Lytechinus pictus: one gene and its partner. Each later gene encodes a partner of the first gene's protein in a complex. Links are inferred from orthologs where the notes say so. Each region holds a gene or a part of one and is shown in the gene's direction. Other genes may lie near its edges.

Region 1 (7,208 bases):
GCACAATCTGCAGTCACAGTAGACCTAGTCTGCTATCAGTGCTATGCAGACTGTTTGAATCAGCTGTGATACACACACTGCAGATGTCGGTTTATATACATTTGTAGACTAAAGCGGAAGTAGCGTGATGAGTAAAACAATGCATTGGGCACAGCATAGAGCGAGTGGCAAAACTTTTTTTTTTAAATAAAAGTCCCGAGGGAGCGAAGCAATAGAAAATTTTTATTTATTGATTTCTTTTTTACCTTTACATTACAATCTTATTTAGAGGTGGATTTGACATGATATTTAGAAAATAAAATATCGTACACTTTTCCTCTCTTTTTGTTTCTTCACGAGATAGCGAAAAAGATTTTTGGCGTTGCGAAATTTAAATTGTAAATAATGTAATTAAAGGGGCATGTCTAGGCCTTGGCTAGGGACATAGGCAATGCTTGGGTGGTGCCTCCGGAACATATTGAAGTTCACTAATTTTTGTCTGGATTGCGACCGTTATTGCATGAAATTTAGCAATTAAGATAATTATAAACTTCATTTACATATCTACGCCATCCCATTCTTTCTTCACGTTCTTTTTTTTTATCCTCGGTAGCCTGGCCGTGTTCCCAGGTAACAATACAGCGTTGGACCAATTTACGTTGGGATTTTTTTTTACGTTGCCTCAGCGTTGGCTAGCGACGTTGCATCATTGACATAGGTGCACGCGCATACATCGTCAGACAAAAAATGCTCCAACGTTGTCTAGCAACTTTGATCCATTGCTGGCTGAATCGTCAGTCACGACGTTGCCACATTTTATGAACAACGTTGAAGTATTGATGGAAGTGCACGTACATACATCGTCAGTCCAACAATATTTACAATGTTCTACCATCGTTGTCTGGCAACAATGTTCCAACGTTATCTGGCGAAGCTATTCCAACGTCGGCTGAATTACAGCGTTGGAAAAAAATAATTGGACCAACGTAGGGAAAACTTTTCTAACGTTGCATCATCGATCGAAGTGCATGCGCATACATCGTCAGACCGATAATGTTTCCAACGTCGGATCAGCGTTATCGGCTAAAAATGTTCCAACGTTGTCTGGCAACGTTGGTTCAATGTTGGCTGTATCATCAATCACATCGTTGCTGCAACATAAGAGGGCAACGTTGCAGCATCGATGGAAGTACACTCCCGTACATCGTCGGTCCAACTATGTTTACAACGCTGGTTTGATGTTGTTTAGCAACATTGCTCCAACGTTGTCTGGCAACATCGTTCTAATGTTGTTACAACATTGTCACAACGTTATTCGAACATATTCTTGCAATCTTAAAAAAAAAAAAAATTATTGGTTTCAATGTGAAGTTTACCTTGACAACTCTTTACTCTAACATGGTGGCTATAACCGGGCATGGTGGCTCAATGGTGGAGCGTCCGCCTCATGAACGGAGGCCGTGGGTTCGATTCTCGGCCGAGTCATACCAAAGACTTATAAAAATGGAAACTTCTGCCTTCTTGCTAGACGCTCAGCATTTAGATTGGGGAAGGGTAATATTATGTCATTCAGGGCCCGCTGGTAATGCAGTTTCCTAATTGAAGTGGCTACCCTCGGTAAAAAACGTAATTTTTATTATTATTATCATCATTACTATTATTACTACTATTATTATTATTATTATTATTACTATTATTATTATTAACCCTTCTCATCCTATAATCCTAAATACCATTTACCTATCCACCGAGTGATGTCGTTGACTCCTATATGTAGAGCAACTTTGCTATACCTACCAGGCTACGGTTAAAAACATTTTTCTATAATCAATCTGGAAAATTTCACTTAGAATAACATGTTTCGATTATAAATGATATGGTAATAACTGAACCACGTACTTTTATCAAGCTTTCCATGGTGGAAATGTTGAATAAACATAAATACGTTAATCATTATAGCTGTATTATGGACTATTACCTAAAATTTTGGTTATCAATGAATATTCATGAGTGCATAATCTTTGGGTGATTTCAAGTCCGGTGTTGGCCTTGGTGTTAGTGTTGGTGTTGGAATTTGGATTACTTCCCCTAGCTCCAAAACTTATTATGAGCTTTTAAAACTGATCCAGATCACATTATTGACATCACGACAACTAGTGAGTGAATTTTCGTGTTATAATCGTGTAAAAATTGACCTAACACCAACACCAAAATATCAACACTGAACTTGAAATCATTATGTCCAGATCAGGCAGGTATGGCAGAGTTGGTGCAACGTTGGTTGGTCCAGCATCATATTTTAAACAAATCCAACGAAGTGCCATCAATGCTTTGCAAACAACCCAGCAACAAACCAGATTCCAACGTTGTACCATCTTCTTCTGTCCCACCAATCTTACTTTGTCAACACTGTATCATACAGGGGCCGCGGAACCGGGGGGGGGGGGGGCTTCAGCCCCCCCCCCACTTTTTTCCAAAACCTTGTACAAAAACGTAAAAATGACCATATGATTGTGGTTTTTAGCATGGTCAGCCCCCCCCCCCCCCCCACTTTGAAAACCGTTCCGCGTCCCCTGTCATAGTTGGTTCAATCAGCAAATCTCCATCAAATAAGTTTTCAACATTGTGCCATCATCACTTGTTCAGGATTTTGTATAAAAAAAAGACCTGATATTGTTTCTCTTTCAATTCTATATATTTCGGCTTTTCATTTATTTATTTCATTCTTTCTCTCTGACTCTGTAATAGAACAGGTCACTTAAGGCATCAAGAGTAGTAGGCCTACATGTGACGTTTTTTGAGGTATGAAGCGTTTAAAGTTTACAACTTCCTGCAATAGGAATGTGGAATCTATGACATACACTTTTCTCAAAAATGAAAAAAAAAAACAATCATAGTCTATAATCGAGACTTTTAGAGTATAAATAAGATGCATCAAGTTTTATCGCAAGTTACAATTCCGGCTAATCTACATCTAGAGTTAGGTTCATCAAGAACTTAATTGTTTCTACCCCCCCCCCAAAAAAAAAAAAAAAAAATCCTTCTGCAAATCAGTGACCCCATCTTCCTCAGTGGGAGAATCATCTACCGACACTGACTCCATGACTTGGGAAGATGCCCAGACGGATGAAGATATATCCCGAAGGAAGATGCACTCCCATTGACTCAAGATCCCCTCTCCCAAGGCCAAATTGTGAAATTTCTGTCAAACGTGAAAGGGCGGAAAAAGCCTGCCCAGATTGCACGGAACTATACATGGTTGAATCTATGACATACACTTTTCTCAAAAATATTAATTAAAAAAAAAAAAATCATAGAGTCTATGATAGAGACTTTTAGAGTATAAATAAGATGCTTCAAGTTTTCTCGCAAGTTACAATTCCGGCTAATCTACATCTAGAGTTAGGTTCATCAAGAACTAAATTGTTTCTACCCCCCCCCCCAAAAAAAAAAAAAATCATTCTGCAAATCAGTGATCCTACTAGTCTAGGAGATCAAAGTGACAAAGAGGCGAAATCCACTGTCATGCTGTACAAAAAAGTTCACTACAGAATAAAGGTCCTAAAACAGCAGCTTCTACTGCCTGAACTTCCTTTTTTTGCGGGGCGGGGGGACTTTTTCTTAAGCTTTTCCCCTATCATTTTACTTCATTCCATTCCACCTCATTTACATTTTTTCTTGCCTCTTTTCTTTCCATTTCTCGCCATAAATTCCACAGTTCCATTTTATCATCTCTAAATTTATTTCCCACTCTTTTTTACTCATCTATTAGTATTTCGGTTTGATTTATTTTTTCTCATGTGTTTTTCTTTTATTCCTTTTTCATCTTTCCGTCCGTTTGCCTTTTCAGGCTTCCCACTATCTCATTTCTTCCCATTTTCTTCTCCTTTATTTGCTTTCCATATTTTATTTGTCCTCTTTTTTTTTCATTCCTTCTTCTTTCTTTGAGTCCCTTTCTTTTTGCTTTCTTTCTTTCATTCCTTCCTTCCTTTTTTATTTCTTTCTTTCTTCTCCACTTTTCCGTTTCCCCCGGTGACCTCCGCCAGGGGGGGGGGGCAGACTGATCCTACCCCCCCCCCCCGCCTAATACGCCATCGAATGTTGGTTAGCATGGTTAGAGAAAATCCAAGCAAGCAGTTTATGCCAGTTTATGGCCCTTGATTTTGCAGGTTTATTTGCCTTGTGGGCACTACCTATACCATACTGTATTGTATATCGAAAATGGTCGTTAACTTCATGAAATTTGAGTGCAATTGAGCTGTTTCGGTTATGATAACCAAAGTTGGAAGAAAAGTATGGCTACTGCAGCGACTTCAGTCGGGGAAGAGACGGTTGTATTGCGAGGAGAGGAACCAGGCGCAAGGTGAGATGGGCTAGATGATTGTGCTCGTTGAAAAATTAGATTGAATAAGGTGGATTCTTTTCCTGCAGTTGTTGACGGACACTTGTTGAACAGCTGGGCGTACGTTCTACCGTAGTCCCGCGGGGAAGATTTTGTGTTGTGTAAAATCCGGCCCGGCCGCGAATATTTTTTCCGTAGGCCTAGCCCTAGGCCTACAATGGGAACGCTATGGAGCATGAATTATTCATAAGTTGAGCTAACAAACTGAAGTGCGCAGACGCATGGACTTCGCGATAGTTCTCTAGCTTCATCAATTTGTACATGAACGAATGGACGAGCACTGCCGATGACCCTTTCTCAAGTTTCGATTTCTCTCTTCCCTTCTCTCTTGCAATCTCCCTTCCCCTCTCTGACTCTGTCTGTGTAATTGCTCGCCTCTATGACTATCTAAGTATGCCCTGTCTTTATGGAAGCAGGAGACCGTCAAAAATACGGATATACGTCGTGTCGTAAATCAATTTACTACACGACGTAAATAATACGTAGTGTAGTAATTTGAATTACTACAGTCTGACAGTCAGTAGAGGCGCACGGCCAATATTGGAGACTGTCTCCATTCTCCAATGTGGGAGATTATCTCCAATATCAGAGACTTTTGTAAAGAATTTGGGTATCCAATTTCAGAGACAGTCTCCAGTTTTGGAGACCAATTTCCTTTGTTTACATTTGCTGCAAAAGGATTACCTTGGCGGCAAATAAAAATGTGATAAGGAGATTCCTCATGAAAAATTACCCCTTTTCACCGTCTACTTTAAAAATTCACCGTCTACTTTTGTTTTGATAAGGATTTTTGTTGTCAATCACACACAAAACAAATGGGCTTCTGACCTCAGTGAGACAAAATTTTGGGTGGAAAAAATCATGCTTTTGTTGGTGTTGTTTCGTTTGTCCTTTCGCAAAGCAAGTCTCCAATGTGGGAGATTGTCTCCCCTATTGGAGAGAGTCTCCCATATTGACCGTGCGCCTCTACTGACAGTAGGGTGTCTGGAGAAAAAAATTATTTTTCTTATTTCAAGAAAATATCACATTTTCTTTGTGAATTTGAAGAGAAATGACCTTCAGACTGACAGAAATGTAACATTTTTGAAAAAAATCCAATTATTGGCTGCAAAAAAGAAGAATGAAATTAGGTCAATTTTCAGCATTTCTCTGCCATAGACTGTGTAGTTAAGAAATGGACACACACAAATCCAAATTTTTAGCTTCCGAGAGCTGTTAATACATTTATTATTAATGCCAAAAACTTGTCCATAAAGAGTCCAATAGGATTTTTTAATGCTCTTTCTGATGGTATGATTTTTATAAAGATTTGGAAACCAGATCACAATGAAAAATTGCGACAAAGTAAAAAAAATTGTGCAAAACAGAAATTTCATTTTCCCATAGAAAACGCATGGGGAAATGGCAATCTCAACACACACAAAAATAAGGGTTTGCAATTTATCTCTAAATCCTTATTTAAAATGATCATATAGACTTGTCCTTACTGTCAAAAGAAGCCCCTGAATTTTCTCTGTCCATACATGCCAAACACAAGATAATAATTCAGATCACATTTTTCTAGTAGCCTGAACTTCCCGAAAAAATGTGCCATATTTTCCCCTAAATCATCCTGTTTTATGCTGACACTTTCCAGTGTGGCTTCAGACACCCTACTGACAGTACGTATTATTTACGTCGTGTAGTAAATTGAATTACGACACGAAGTATATTCGTGTTTTTGACGGTCTCCTGCTTCCATATGTCTTAGCACATGCTCTGCCTCTAGCTCTGTTTCTTTATGAATCATGAATGAATTGACTCGCCGTAATGTCCTCGTCACCCCCATCTGCGAATATCAGTGTTTCTTTCTCTATGATGGCCAATTTAGTTCCTTTTCTCTTTGGTCCCCCCCCCCCCTCTGGGAAACACTGATATTTGCAGATGTGACAAGGACATTACGGCGAGTCAATTCATTCATGATTCATAAAGAAACAGAGCTAGGGCGTGTGCTAAGTAAGACAGAGCATAGAGGCGAGCTATTACAGACAGAGAGGGGAAGGGAGATTGCAAGAGAGAAGGGAAGAGAGAAATCGAAACTTGAGAAAGGGTCATCGGCAATAGCGTTCCCATGTACGGAAAAAATATTCGCGGCCCGGCCGCGAATATTTTTTCCGTACATGGAAACGCTATGGTACATGAATTACTCATAAGTTGAGCTAAAAATCTGAAGTGCGCAGGCGCATGGACTTCCCTAAATAGTTCTATAGCTTCATCAATTTGTACATGAACGAATGGACGAGCACACTCTTGTACATAAATGAATGGTCTCCATTCCAATCCCCTGTTTCTGAAGTTTCGATTTCTCTCTTCCCCTCTCTCTTGCAATCTCTCTCCCTTCCTCTCTCTCGCACTGAATGTCCTCGCCATCCCCTCCATCTAAATTTCTGTTCCTTATATCTCTAGCCAAGTTCTTTTTTTCTTTGCGTTCCCCCCTTGCATGAAATCACCTCTCTCCATCTCTGTTTCTTTATGAACCATGACTGATGATTGGACTCGCATAATGTCCTTGCCACCCCCTCCTCCCTCTAGTTTCACTCCCCCCCCCCCCCTTCTTGCACTCCTATCTGTTTCTCTCAATTTCCCTCTTGCAATAAATCTCTCCCCTTCTATCCCATCTCGCATTTTCCCTCCACCCACCCTCGCTCCCCGCTCAAATTTGTCGATATACTCTAGTCTTTACTAATTGATATAACAGCTAAATATTCGCACAGCTGAAGTTTTCCTCAGCTGTCAAGAAAACCACGGGTCTCAAAGGCAACTTTCTCATGCACTCTGAGTATCATTT
Region 2 (7,799 bases), on another chromosome or scaffold:
GTTGGTACAGATTGGGTTTTGGGCGTGGCATTAAATTTTGCCGCTTACGGTACTGGTCATGTGACTTTAGGGATGAAAGTTATTTCCAGATGAATGTTTATACCTTTTGCAAGAAAAGCATGATTTGTTTGATTATGATCATGTTGGGGTAATCAGGAATTTAATCAATTGGTATTTGACGCTTTTAGAACTTTGAAGCGGTTACTATTGTTTCGATATTCACTGGTCGCCAAACAGAATTTGATAATTGATAAATTGTGAAAGCATTTTAAAAACTGATGATTATTTTTATCATTAGTTTCGCTCGCCGTATCTAAAATAATTTTAGGGCTATAATTATTGAGATTGTTCTTTTTTAAATCGCATACTAGATGAAATATAAATAGGGCATGCTGACGTGGCTAATTTAATGAACGCCATGTTTAGGGTGTGATTTATTGATGGAGCTGACTTGGCTTATACACCACTAAGGGTGAGTGACTATTAATAGTTACATGTTAGTATACCAGATAATTTGTTCCATTTTGATGTGAATTTATATGGATTTGTAACGCAATTTGACATGCCGTGTAGGTTTTATCCCAGACGGTTATTGATTTATGGCTCATAAATCAATAAACGGCATCATTGTTATATACATTATTAAAAGGAAAAATAATTTAATTATGAAATTATTAATATATCGCAGAAAAAGAAATAGAAATTACTCAATAGTATTTCGATCGTACCTGGTACAAAATACTATTGAGTAATTTCTATTTTTAATGCTACTGTATGTGTTATGGTGACTTGCCAAATGAAATCAATCAATCAATAAATCCATCCATCCATCCACCAACCAACCAACCAACCAACCAACCAACCAACCAACCAACCAACCAACCAACCAACCAACCAACCAACCAACCAACCAACCAACCAACCAACCAACCAACCAACCAACCAACCAACCAACCAACCAACCAACCAACCAACCAACCAACCAACCAACCAACCAACCAACCAACCAACCAACCAACCACCCAAAACCAAAACCAAAACCAAAACCAAACCAAACCAAACCAAACCAAACCAAACCAAACCAAACCAAACCAAACCAAACCAAACCAAACCAAACCAAACCAAACCAAACCAAACCAAACCAAACCAAACCAAACCAAACCCAACCCAACCCAACCCAACCCAACCCAACCCAACCCAACCCAACCCAACCCAACCCAACCCAACCCAACCCAACCCAACCCAACCCAACCCAACCCAACCCAACCCAACCCAACCCCCCATCCCAGGGCCATGCATTATGAGACAAAATGTACCCCAAATCTGTTGACTCAATAAAGGGATGGTCAGGGCTGAAAATATTTATATCTTAATACATAGAATAGGGTTCACTGAGCAAAATGCTGAAAATTTCATCAAAATCGGATAACAAATAATAAAGTTATTGAAGTTTAAAGTTTATTTTGTGAAAACAGTCGTCATGAATATTCATTAGGTGGGCTGATGATGTCACATCCCCACTTTCCGTTTTCTTATGTTATTACATAAAATCATATTTGTTTTCATTATTTCATACTTGTGTGAATAATATGTCTCCCATATCATGAAATAAGTTGCAGCAATAAATATCTAATGCACTAAATCAGTTGTCAATACAATTTTTCTAGTTCTTGGAGAAAAACTTTGAATAAACCTAATTTTTTATATAATGCCTGGGGTAACGCTGCTAAAGTTCATTTGGATGGGTTATTTAAAGTCCAGAAAAGGGTAATTAGACTAGTATGTGGAGTAAGTTCACGATCTCACACAAATATTTTGTTTTATGAAAACAAGTTCCTTAATTTACATGACATATTTGATCTCAACCTTGGTTGCATTATGTATCAATTAAATAAAAGAGAACTTCCACTTGCCCTAGAAATGACCAAATCCATTTTTACTATACAAGACAAGTTTCTTTTCTCCACTTGCCATTGGTCAAAACTAGTTTTCGGCTAAATACATTTGTTTATACAGGGCCAAAATTATGGAACTCCCTTCCTTCTTCATTGAACCAATCAGTTAGCCTTAGTGTTTTTAGAAACAAGTTAAAGACCGATTTACTGAAGAAGTACTTAAATCAGTAAACGAATACCTGCTTGTTATATCTCGTCTAACTTTAGAAATTGTATTCTTCCCACAATTATCTATGCAACAATAGAGCTTTGCCTATTTTCTTTATATTTTCCTCTTTTCTTTCTTTTCGAATTTCAGATTCTTATACTTTAGGTCTAATAGAATGTTTGCATTCTGCATTTCACCTTTTTGTTACTTTTTAGTGTATCTTTTGTAAATATGTATATCTGTACTTTGGTTGTTTACTCCAATTTTTTGTTTACTTGTTCTATGATGTTTTAAAATGATTCACGCTAATATAAGTTTTTAACATTCTGGTGGCATATGGCCAACAAGCGGCTAAGCTTCTTAGTAGGTCACCACGTTTCATTTCCATCTGTTCTCATGGGTGTTACTAATGTTCCATAAAAAGTAGTGCATGTATTATGTATATTATCCTGTAATTATTTACTTTTGTTCTTTGCTATTTACTTGTTCTCCCAATAATTTACTGTTGTTATTGTTGTTGTTTGATATCGGAATTGAAACGAAATAAAGATTCATTCATTCATTCAAAATACAAAAGAACAAGTGGAGATGTGACGGGGATGTCCACCTAATGAATATTCATGACGACTGTTTTCACAAAATATTGCTAAACTTTAAAATTCAATAACTTTGTTATTTGTTATCGTATTTTGATGAAATTTTCGGCATTCTGCTGATCTGCTCAGTGAATTCTACTCTATTTATTAAGCTATAAATATTTTCAGCCCGGACCATCCCTATAACACCACTCTGTCTCTCTCTATATACCGTATATACAGTGCGTCCCAAAAAAAACTATACACTTTTGAAATGGCTGCCAAATAAAAAATGTAGCACTTTGGGGGAAAAGACTTATAGATATGGAAAGCCAATAAAGTCAACTTTCAAATGACACCAAAAAGTTGGAAAACTATTCATGCTTGAGCGAGCACTGCCCACTGAAACAAAGGGTATGAAAATTAGGGTGGGCCGGAATTAGCCTTCCAATTTCTTTCAGGTTTTTTTGTTTGGTACTTAAAAGTTGAGGGTTATTTGGTGAATTAAAGATCATTTGTGATCAGTTTGTTGTTTGTGTAAATTTAATGCGTTATTAAATTGAAATTTAATGCATGAGTGATCATGAATTGCAATTTTTAGTGCAGCATTTTGTCTTTATCATGTGGATCTCAACAATGTGTTCATGAGAGTCAGGAGAAGAGGGGGTAATATGACTTAGGTAGGTGAAGTACGTTGATGGGATAAAGGTCAACAGAACATTTAAGCAACCCCTCTCTCCATCTCAACCCCCACTTCTCTTCTGAGAGATTAAGCTCGGCTAGACTGGGCAGGAATTAGCCTTACAGTTTTTTGGAGTGGTTAGTCCTTTGGAACTTGCTAAGCTAAGGGTGTTAAGCTAAATTGATGATAAGATAAGTAAGATAAGTTTTGGTTTCTTGGGCAAATTTCACGAGTTACTAAATTGAAATTTAATGCATGAGTGAGCCGGAGTTGTAATTTTAGTGTAGCATATTCATCTTTTGGACCTCAGAAGTGTGTTCGTGAGAGGAAGAGTAATATGATGGTACCTGTTACAAGCAAGAGGGCGAGATATGCTAAGACTTGGTTAAAAGGGCATTCCTCTTCTTTTTGTCCTTTTTACATATTAATAGTCATATGTACCATCCCTTCTCCACCTCCATTTCCCAGCCCCCCCCCTCTCTCTCTCTGTCTCTTTTCCTGGATTGTAGCCTATTCAAAACTTAACTGCCAAGTGACCGGTGGCTGATGGTCAATTTTTTTTTTGGAATCATTACCAAGAAATTTAATGATTATGATGATTAATGAAATAATTTATTGAAAAAAAAATGAATGTTTGATTGATCACATTGCACATTGAATGAGTTGATTTACTAATAAATTGTTGATTCAATGATTGATAGGAAAAAGTTGATGCCCCAATTCAGAATTTATCATTAAATCGACATTCTGCTCTGGACTTCACGCATACATGACAATAGCCATCAGTCTCACAACAGGAGGGGAAGATGGGAAAGAGGGAGGGGGAGGGTGGGAAAGAGGGAGGGGGCGGGGACTCAATGTTCTGTTGACCCTTATTCCATCAACCTGCTTCTCCCACTTAAATCCTATCTCACCCCCTATCCTCCAGACTCCCATGAACACATTGCTGAGATCCACATGATAAAGTTGAAATGCTGCCCAAAAAAGAGATCCAAATGATAAAGTTGAAATGCTGCCCCAAAAGTATAATTTATGCTCACTAATGCATTAAAGTTCAATTACATAATTTATGAAATTTGCTTATGCAACCAAAACTGGTCATGGTTGATCATTAATTTATCACAACGCCCTTAACTTTGCAAGTTTAAAAGGATTTGCCTCTTAAAAACTGACACAAATTGGAAGGCTAATTCCAGCCCACCCTAATTTTCATACCCTTTGTTTCAGTGGGCAGTGCTCGCTCAAGCATGAATAGTTTTCCAACTTTTTGGTGTCATTTGAAAGTTGACTTTATTGGCTTTCCATATATGTAAGTCTTTTTCAGCAAAGTGCTCCATTTTTTATTTGGCAGCCATTTCAAAAGTGTATAGTTTTTTTTGGGACGCACTGTATATTCCAATCCCACAAAATTAACGACACCATAATCCTAACTTTTTGTTCAAGGAATTAAGGACGTGATACGCGAAGACGAAGTCGAAGAAAGAGACCTAAAAAGTACCTTATCTGGAATAATGACCTCTCAGCGGAGCATAGTGAACCTTTCAAATTTCTTCATCTACAATACAAATATAAAATGCAGAGAAGGAGAGGTGAGAATAAGTTCTTTCCGAGGCCGTGTTTCTGTCGCTAGCACTAGCTAGCAGCAGTAGCACTGCTCCGTATATTATAAATCGAGTACTGGTGAGAATCTGTGGTCCCATTAACTTGATTCCGTGGAGGTGCTGTCTTGGCTATTGCCGAAAGATGTAGCCGTCGGTGGGGCGCTAATGCAGTTTCGCACCGGCCAACTTCGAGCAAATTTCCCCACCAGGAATTGTTTACAAATGTCATGGCAAGTCTCTCAGTCACATTTCGAGGTCAATATTCCCACTGCTTTTCTAAATATCGCGATCGGGAACGGCTGCATTTACATGATTTAGGCTTTGCTTTTTGCCTTTGCTATTCTTGACACTCATTCAATGTCAATGAACAAGGTTATGAATATGATATTATAACCTAACCCAGGGAACTCCCGCCTGCTGTGCGGGCGGGAGCCCAGGAGCTTACCGTGTATTTGACCATACTCACGGGACTAGGGTGATTTATGGTCTAAATATTTCTCCAAATGAATTATGAAAACAGTAATCATGCACTTACCACGATTATATATGGATGAAGCCAAGGTCTAACGAGTGGCAGTTTCCTGACATCTGGGCACAGACTGGAACCTCAAAAAACGAAAAGTTCTCTCCTTCTACCCCCGTCTCGATCGGCCATTTTTGTTATGAATTGTAACAAAATGGCCGATCGAGACTGGGGTAGAAGGAGAGAACTTTTCGTTTTTTTGAGGTTCCAGTTTGTGCCCAGATGTCAGGAAACTGCCACTCGTTAGACCTTCGATCCATATAATCGTGGTAAGTGCATAATTTCTGTTCTCACAATTCATTTGGAGAAATATTTAGACCATAAATCACCCAAGTCCCGTGATTATGGTAAAATACACGGTAAGCCCCTGGGCTCCCGCCCGCTGTGCGGGCGGGAGCTCCCTGGGTTAGATATAACCTTGTTCTCAGTTATATCTCAGTCCATGTGTGGCAAAATAAGGATGGCAATGTTTGGCTTATTTTCTCTTTTTCTTTGGGACAAATGCTTGATTTTTTTACACTGACAGTTTCCATTACACCTATTCATCATACAACTTGGCCCTTTAGTAAATTTGATTCTTTAAATTATTTTTTTCTTAATTAAAAATAGAGACAAAAAATGAAAATTTTCTTGCTATATTATTTCAGAGCTGCCAACCATTACGTTTTTGCCGTAATCATTACGTTTTTTCATTCAAATTACGGCATTATGGTTTTTCTTTTCAAATTACGTTTTTTGACAATTTTGATAATGTATGTGGAGTGCTAGATGAGCCTGGTACTTGCTCGTGCGTAGTCGCCCGCCAGCCGGTTTTCCAACGCACTTTAATAATTTGATAGCGTGCACGTACATGTACATTAGTTGAATATGCGAGCGGCATGCATGGTACGAATCGCGATGTATAGCGACTGGTAAATACGTCTGTAAGGATGATGACGTTATCCAAGATGGCAACTTACGATGACAAATGAAAGGATCGAGGATGATTATGTTTTGATCATCATTTGAAAGGAAATAACAGTAACTGCGGTCTAAGGTACAATATCTCTGAATTTTATATATTTTATCTTAAATTTGCATGTAATTTCTTTCCTATAATTAAAGTGATGTTTTATGTACAAAAAAACGATCCGAAAATCAGATTTCCGCCGAATGTTAGATCTAACGTTACTGCTAATACATTGTCTTTAAGCACGGGCCAACACTCTTCAGGTGAGTGGAGCCAACGTTTGTTCTTGCAGCGCAGAGCGAGGAGTACGATGAATTGGGTAGGGTAATTCCCCAAATGTAGTAAGAGAAGAGTCAATTTGTAATGGAGGGGGGATTTGGAGGTTTGAGGGAAATTATTATTCCATTTGCAAAATTTTACAAAAATACTCATCATATATATTAAAGATTGAATCATCAAAAGATATTTTTCATATACTTTAAAATTAATTGTAGTGATAAAGAAATTAAATTTTGAGGCTATTTTCTTGAATTGATTAATATCGATTCCCTTCGGATAACGGGACTGTCTGGTTAATTTTCATCAACTCGTATCAAACAAATACGATGAATTCGGCTTTGAAAAGACCTGGAAAGCTCTTCATTGTCCCCTGAAGTAATAATTCTGGGTGATATTCAACATTTATTGATAGTTTCACATGATTTATACTAGAGAGATGTCCTACTGCCTTTGGAATTCATTAAAAAAGTCGGCACTTTAGCATTCAGTTTAGCAGGAATGGGAAGATTTCTTCCCCGGTTCTGGCGGCCTAGATGTCTGCTCTATAGTGCTGTCACTGCTGGGGATGATTGAGTGTGCGTGCAGTGTGATTGAGGCTGAGCTGTGCACATCGTGAAGTGATTTACGATGGGACTTTTGTGGAATGATTTCAACTTATCTATAGATCTATTTGAATTTTAGATTAGATTGATTTATGAATAATTTTTCTATATTTGTGGAATGTTACATGTACACTTCCATTTTATGACACTTTAATTTTAAAGGGTACTGTTTGGCAAAAACAATGTTACTTGGGAAGAGAAGTCTGAATTGATGTCAACTTTTTTTTTTATTTCTCTTAGTCTACAATTTGGTAGTTTTGTCAGGAAACTCAACATAAAACAAAGAATTATTTTAGAAGTGGAAAGGAAGCCCCAGAAAAATGGAGCCCTAAAAATGTTCACCAGAACTGATTTTGGTGCCCCTGAAAGAATTTTTTCTCGACAGATCTTCACTTTGATAAGTGCCGGAGTAGGTTGCACTATAAAATGAAAGGCCTACTTGTCATTTTTAGAAAAATTTGCCTAGAATAAAAGTGGCCTTCATG

What was found.
Region 2: the proteins of protein SAND-like (region 1) and vacuolar fusion protein CCZ1 homolog are in contact, whole or in part, in a cryo-EM structure (PDB 8JBE), measured with the Drosophila melanogaster proteins. The link is inferred for Lytechinus pictus from reciprocal best matches to the Drosophila melanogaster genes Mon1 and Ccz1. Residues at the interface, in NP_608868.1 of Drosophila melanogaster: Trp112, Gln113, Phe120, Leu142, Val145, Ile146, Leu149, Phe152, Val153, Gln157, Asp158, Ala159, Ile160, Thr161, Ser162, Ile163, His164, Ala165, Gly166, Ile168, Phe170, Phe172, Arg185, Arg459, Ser464, Arg465, Pro466, Leu467, Lys468, Leu469; in NP_647835.1 of Drosophila melanogaster: Lys48, Gly51, Leu52, Ile56, Phe59, Thr60, Thr62, Phe63, Thr64, Asp68, Cys69, Gln70, Ala71, Leu72, His73, Thr74, Gln75, Lys76, Thr77, Ala114, Glu115, Ala412, Asp413, Asn416, Pro427, Ala428, Glu429, Glu430, Val431, Gln432.

What each region holds. Positions count from the first base shown.
Region 1 is NC_087263.1:8,031,069-8,038,276, reverse strand, and holds the start of protein SAND-like, read left to right. Parts: upstream 1-4,201; 5' UTR 4,202-4,274; coding exon 4,275-4,342; intron 4,343-7,208. UniProt on the Drosophila melanogaster protein: Part of the Mon1-Ccz1 guanyl-nucleotide exchange factor complex specific for Rab7 that promotes the exchange of GDP to GTP, converting Rab7 from an inactive GDP-bound form into an active GTP-bound form.
Region 2 is NC_087254.1:25,997,937-26,005,735, forward strand, and holds the start of vacuolar fusion protein CCZ1 homolog, read left to right. Parts: upstream 1-4,777; 5' UTR 4,778-4,871; coding exon 4,872-4,949; intron 4,950-7,799. UniProt on the Drosophila melanogaster protein: Part of the Mon1-Ccz1 guanyl-nucleotide exchange factor complex specific for Rab7 that promotes the exchange of GDP to GTP, converting Rab7 from an inactive GDP-bound form into an active GTP-bound form.